Arabidopsis thaliana: one gene and its partner. The protein of the gene in region 1 interacts with the protein of each later gene in a pairwise test. Each region holds a gene or a part of one and is shown in the gene's direction. Other genes may lie near its edges. The genes, in order: AT4G12210 and IAA29.

Region 1 (3,091 bases):
AAACTCTCTCCATCACAACCAAACTCAGTTCTCGTTTTCATCGAAACCAAATCTGAAGAGATCTTTGTAAACCCAACAACCGGTCACCAAACCAGCCGGTCCACTCCGGCTTCACCATCTTTTTTCGATACTATCAATCTCTGTAGTTCTAGTCACCACCACATCCGATCACTTCTCCGTAGTCGGTTCGTTAGCTACCATTTTTTGTGTGATATCTTAGCCCCAGAGATCGCGACGGAGGCAATCAACTTAGGTTTTGGACGAAACGGCTTTACCTTCACCGTGGTCGTCACAGTTACTAACCGGACCGTCTCCGTTACTTCAAACGACACAGAAATCATTGAGAATGGTTCTACTAGAGAGGATAAAAGCAGAGGAATTAAAGAGTTCGAACATGGAAACAGAGTCGTGTTCCATCTGTTTCCACGATCTCTCCAGTCCGAAACCTAGCGATCTCCCACGCATGACTTGTTCTAAGAATTGAAAGTATTAGGGTTTCATCTACTGATTGCATAACTTGTGTCACACGTACGCTCTATATTGGGGAAATTTTATGTGATTTTGTTTATTAAGGTTTCAAATCTAATTTTGTTTCATTCGCTCTGTGCTTCCAGAAATTGAATGTAATTTTGTGCTTTTAAGGGTTTTAAATAAGATCATTGGACCATCATTAATGGGAGGTTATTAACAATGGCTCTTAGCAATAATTTAGGAATAGATTTTGAAAATTTGGTAGTTAAGAGTTTGGGTAAGATTTTTAAGTTTAGTCATCCTCAATGATAGTATATTAAGTTAGGATTCTTAAAAAAAAAAAGATATGATTTTGGTTTATGTGTGGTTTTGTGGAGAGAAGGAATATATGCGATGAAGTAATTGGTGGTGTTTGGTGTATTGACACAAAGATATAAAAGAGATTCATAATTGGTATTTAAGAGTTCATAATCAAAACAAATTTTTGAGAAAAAAATGATTGCTTTCTGCATTTTTAGAGTTAAAAAGCTAGACTTTGAGGCTGAGACCTACTTATATTGTGTTACAGGGAGTGTATTGAGCTAAATATGGCTATAATACAATTTGGAAGTACATGTGTTGCTCAATAAAGTATTCGTCCTCAATTTGCAGTCAGAGCTTATTATCCCAGCAGAATCTAATCAAGTCGCCAACAAAAGTATGATTTTTAAGTCTCTGGATTGCATTGAGTTCTTGACATAGAGGTATTGAAACTAGTTTGATTTACTTTTCTGTGGCTTTAAGCCTTTCAAGGATTTTGATTTGTTTTCATTGCACATCTTAAGATATTAGTCTTCGTAGAATGAAGTTTGTATTTTCCCATGGCCCACACATAGTTTGCCACATCATCGTCTCTTACCATCATTTTTCGCCTCTTGTATAAGAGGCCCTCTTAAGTTAATACATCCTTTAGCATTTAATTTTATTCTCAAATTAATTTAAGAACCCACTAAAAACTTACCAATAATTATTGCTAAGTCTTAAACTAATAAGTAATAACCAAAACCCCTTCAAATCAAACTCTACAAATAAAACTGTTAAAAAGGAAAAAAGGAAACTTCTTAAAAAAAAAGGAAATTGTTAGGTGACAGAGAAAAAAAGGAAACTAGAACCTAAAATATCTGAACGTTGAAGACGCGTATATATATCCTCACTACGTAACCCTAAAGCTTCACAAATTCTCTCCTCTCTCAATTTGCTCTCGCTAGTCACTACGATTTGCCAAGTCTTCTTCTTCTACTTCTCTGTTTCTCTTTCCGTTTCAAAACATGAATTCTCGCAAAGTGGAATTTCGCTTCACCAATCTTCAAAGGAAACTCTCTTCTCCATCACATGCAAACTCAGTCATCGTTGAGATCGATACCAAATCTGAAGAGATCTTTGTAAACCAAACAACCGATCACCAAACCCGCCGGTCCACTCCGGCTACTCTATCTTGTCTCGACACTATCAATCTCAGTAGTTCTAGTCACGACCACATCCGATCACTTCTCCGTACCCGATTCGCTAGCCACCATTGGTTGTGTGATGACCTAGCCTCAGAGATCTCAACGGCGGCTATCGACTTAGGTTTTGGACGAAACGGTTTTACCATCACCGTGGTCGTCACAGTTACTTACCGGACTGTCTCGGTAACGTCAAACAACAAGAAATCTTTGAGGATAGTTCTACTAGGAAGGATAAAAGCAGAGGAATTGAAGAGTTTGAAGATGGAAACAGAGTCTTGTTCAATCTGTCTTGAGAATCTAGTCTCCGGTCCAAAACCTAGCGACCTCACACGCATGACTTGTTCTCATGTCTTCCACAATCCCTGTCTCTTGGAGTGGTTCATGCGTAAAAACACTTGTCCCCTGTGTCGGACGGAGCTCTACGATCGATGACTGGAACCAAAGATTGATATTAGGGTTTTATGTATGAAAATTTCATGTAATTTTCGTATTAAGGTTGAAATTATGGTTTCCATTAGAAGTTAGAAAAAGATTGAAATTAGGGTTTTCGATAGAAAAAAATTCTAATTTTGTGTCACACACGCTGAAGAAATTGAATGTAATTTGTTGTTTTTAAGAGTTTTACTCAATTAGAGAAGTTTTTAATCACAACAAAAAACTACAAACTTTGTCGGTTTTAAGTTATTCACTTGCAAGTTGCAACTCTTAAATTCTTAACAAAATAACCAAAACCCTTCATCAAGCTGTTGCTGAAATTAAATCATGATTCATATGTGTCTTCTTCAATGTGATTGTTTCACCTCTCACATGAAGTCCTTCTGCAGTGTGTCTTTATAATATCCTTATGCAATTTCAACTCTTTGGATAATACTTCAGCTACTTCAACATATTTGCTAGTCACCAATCAAAGTTACGAAATATTGACACTTACAGAGATACATACATTGGCACTTCCCACAAAGTATAATTCTTCCTAAAATGCTCAAGCATTATTCCTTCTTGGAACAGATGCTTCTTGTGCTTTATAAGCATGTTCCTTCGGCTTCTCAGAGTTCCTAGATGGACAGTCGTTTTTGTAGTGGCCATCTTCCCCACAAATCCAGCAAGCCCCTTTCTCTCCTTTGGATTTTGAC
Region 2 (4,081 bases), 8.3 Mb from region 1:
TGTTTATAAATGAATTTGGTTCGACCAGATAGTCTAATATCAGTTTTTAAACACTGGTTTTAATAAAATCATATGTCGGCAATTCAACCTGTTACGTTGTATGATTGTATCCTAGTCAAATAGGGGAGGAGGTACTAGTCGTTTCAATTAGTTTACGTAATCAATCCAAAGAAACTATAAGCTATAAAGATCCTCAATTTGTTGGTTACAATAAAAACAACAGTTGTCAAAATTTATGTTTATAAAAAGTAATAACTATGTTCCTTCCCATATAGAGCAAAGTACCTCAGGATAGGCAAACCGTACTTAATAGCCCTTATTCATAATTTGATCCAACTCTTCCCCACAAAATTGCAACTGATGAAGTCAATACTTGTATAGTGAGTCAAGCTATAAATGTCTAGTGATAGTTTTGTCTCTTAAAAGGTTAACAAAAGTTATGACAAGCTGAAAAATCAGAGTTTGCTAGGAGTATTACTTACAGTTATCAGTTTAAGTATCACATTTATAGTATTGTATACAATGATTCTTAAATTCCACCTTTTCCGTGCGAAACCAAATTTTCTATTGGAAACATAGAATGTAAACAAAAATATGGGACGTTGTCCGTTCCAACATTAACCAAACTTGTCTATTACTAATATTCGTGTTGGTTTGATGTTGGATGTCTAAATTCGTTGAATCATGTGTCTCTTGACGAAATATGCATCTTCTTATTTCTTAGTATAGATGCACTTTATCATTCTTTTAGTACATGCTTAATTTTTTTTTTTAAAATATGTTGATTGTCATATTGCCAAAAGTATGAATTAAAGACGCACATCTAACACAAGTTAGCAGCCGTAAATCCTTCCATAAATTTATTTTGCAAGTTTTGCTCATTATATAATGAGCGGAATTTATGATATAATCGTTTGTAATAATGTTATGTTTTGATCAAAATTTGAAATTAAAAGTAGGTGAGAACTTGTTATACAGTGTAGATAAGGTGGATCTTGAATATAAAAATAAAATTTATAAGATGTATTTAAAGCAGAAAAGCATAAAACTTTAGATAAAATAATGTAAAAATGTGTTAGCATCAATGTTGGGATATTGGCCGACCCGAACTTAATCAATGTCGGAAGCCATTACTTCTCTCCCAAAAGACCTTTTTCCTTCGGAGAACTAGGAACTTCCTCACTACCTTTCGCTTAACGTGAAAGCCATAAATTTCATATATTCATAAAAATCAGAAAATCTAAAACTGTTTAGTATCACCTGTTTTTGGTATAGACTATTGGTTTTGTGTTACTTCCTAAACTATATGATTTCGTACTTCATTGGATCTTATAGAGATGAATATTCGTAAAAAGATAAGTTATCTGGTGAAACGTTACTTCAGTCATGTTGGGTCTAGATTTACATACTACTATGAAACATTTTAAGATAATAATTATCCTAGCCAACTATATGTTCTATATTATGGGCCAAGAAGATATAGAACTAAAAGTTCAGAATTTAACGATATAAATTACTAGTATATTCTAATACTTGAATGATTACTGTTTTAGTTGTTTAGAATAAATAGTAGCGTGTTGGTTAAGATACCATCTATCCACATCTATATTTGTGTGGGTTACATAAAATGTACATAATATTATATACATATATATGTATATTTTTGATAAAGCCATATATTACTCCTTGACCTCTGCCCCCATTTCCTTTTACTATAAATAGGAATACTCATGATCCTCTAATTCAGCAATCAACACCAACGAACACAACCTTTTCCAAAGCCAATAATAAAAGAACAAAAGCTTTTAGTTTCATCAAAGACGAAGCTGCCTTAGAAATGGAGTTGGATCTTGGTCTATCTCTTTCACCTCATAAATCTTCCAAGTTAGGGTTTAACTTTGACCTCAACAAGCATTGTGCGATCGAGGGTGCTGCGTCTTGTTTGGGTACCGAAAAACTGCGTTTTGAGGCGACGTTTGGGTTAGGGAATGTGGAGGAAAATTGTTATATGCCAAAACAGCGTTTGTTTGCCTTGAATGGCCAGCCCAACGAGGAAGACGAAGATCCTCTGGAATCCGAGTCTTCAATAGTTTACGAGTGAGTACCTTGACTATTTTAGTATTTGACAACAATTAGGTTAAAGTAGTTACATCTAGTATTATTATATAATAAATGACTCCGTAGTTTTCAAAAATGTTATGATGTTGTAGACTTGTAGTTAACTCAATGGAGAGGCATAATTTGTATTTTTTTGTAACATATAATTAATTTTAATATTTAGTGATGAGGAGGAAAATAGCGAAGTTGTTGGATGGCCACCAGTAAAAACATGTATGATAAAGTATGGTAGTTATCATCATCGTCATATTCGTAATCACCATCATTGCCCGTATCATCATCGTGGTAGGAGGATCACGGCGATGAACAACAACATATCTAATCCAACAACGGCTACTGTGGGATCATCATCTTCTTCGTCAATATCATCAAGATCATCAATGTATGTTAAGGTTAAGATGGATGGTGTGGCAATAGCAAGAAAAGTGGATATCAAGCTTTTTAACTCTTACGAGTCCCTCACTAACTCCTTGATCACTATGTTTACCGAATGTAAGTACTAATTACGTTTATCAAAATCTAGAGTAAGAAACCTATAAACAATTGAAAATAGAACGTAACTTTTTACTACTATTGAATCTAATTTTGGGTTATCAGATGAAGATTGCGACAGAGAAGATACAAATTATACATTCACCTTCCAAGGGAAAGAGGGTGACTGGCTACTTCGAGGGGATGTTACATGGAAGTAAGTTTACTTCTCTATATTTCAAGAAAAATGACTTATTGAGTAATGACTACTATACTCTCTTTCTTATATATTGATACTTAACTTGTTGTTTTGGTTTTGTAGGATCTTTGCGGAATCTGTTCATCGGATATCAATAATTAGAGATCGACCGTGTGCATATACAAGATGTTTGTTTTAAGGATAGGCGTTCAAATCGGACCATTATTTTTTATTTTGTAATTAAAATGTCTATCATTTGATTAAATTTCCACTCGATCTTTTTCCTCTATTCTTCTAGTTCTTAGTATCAAATCCAATGGTTTATAATCTGTTGTTATCTGATCCATGGCTAACACATGGACAAAAAGCTAAAGAAAATTCAAAAGTAAAAAAAACTCATGAATTGTCAAAGACAGACTAGCTGATAATAATTAAGATGTTAGACTTTTTGTGTGTACCGAATTGATTTTTTTTTCATAGACTTGTTTGATTGAGAAACCATAAGAATGTAATGGTTGCGGACGTCCGGGTTTTACACAAGTAAGTATGTCACTTTATGTGATTCAAGAGATTTCCAAGTAATTAAATTTTGGTTTGAATTAGATCGGAGTACGATTTTAAATTGTGAGTAAACAAGGGGAAAAAAAAAAGCATGAGTAAACAGAAAAAAAATGACATAAAAACTGATACATTTCTTAAACAATTTAATTAGCTGAATAGCTGATAACAAAATTTAAAATGAATATTATTGATCTTAGCTTAAAATGCGTAATTTAGATTAAAATATTAATCAATAATGAATGATATATAAGAAAATCTTTTATTAAAATGGTTATTATATTTACAATTTGCATAAAATTATATCATAAGTTTATAATCTTTAAATTAAATAATATGACAAACATAATCTTTATATAAGGAAAATAGATATTTTAGTGAAATTTAGAGAAACACAACTTTAGATCTACTAAAGTTATGAATGAAACAATCAAACAACTGTAAAAAGATCCCTACAAAAATTGAAAATTATTTAATTACCAAACAAAACAAAAAGAAAAGACATCTTCACCGATACGTTCGGTGTTCAGACTTGAGTCTCTCTCGGACACACGGCTCCCGTCAATCCCGGTCACAAACCAAACCTTCGCATCTCTATCTGTCTCTTCAGATCGACGGCTCTAATCACTCCACGTCAGCTTGGACTCATAACTCTCTTATTAAATTGGTGTCTCTCTGTCTTTAGACACTTCATTTTGACTGGTTCGGCGAATCTGCTCCTTTAGTCATCTTCTC

Evidence for each region.
Region 2: the proteins of AT4G12210 (region 1) and IAA29 interact in a two-hybrid assay, tested with the Arabidopsis thaliana proteins (one large-scale study listed by BioGRID).

Annotation. Positions count from the first base shown.
Region 1 is NC_003075.7:7,280,607-7,283,697, reverse strand, and holds AT4G12210 (RING/U-box superfamily protein), read left to right. Parts: upstream 1-1,778; coding exon 1,779-2,390; downstream 2,391-3,091. Other genes in the region: AT4G12220 (uncharacterized protein), read left to right, coding at 1-450.
Region 2 is NC_003075.7:15,581,642-15,585,722, forward strand, and holds IAA29 (indole-3-acetic acid inducible 29), read left to right. Parts: upstream 1-1,690; 5' UTR 1,691-1,837; coding exon 1,838-2,097; intron 2,098-2,281; coding exon 2,282-2,610; coding exon of another isoform or gene 2,611-2,621; exon of another isoform or gene 2,622-2,715; coding exon 2,716-2,806; intron 2,807-2,911; coding exon 2,912-2,987; 3' UTR 2,988-3,257; downstream 3,258-4,081. UniProt on the Arabidopsis thaliana protein: Aux/IAA proteins are short-lived transcriptional factors that function as repressors of early auxin response genes at low auxin concentrations.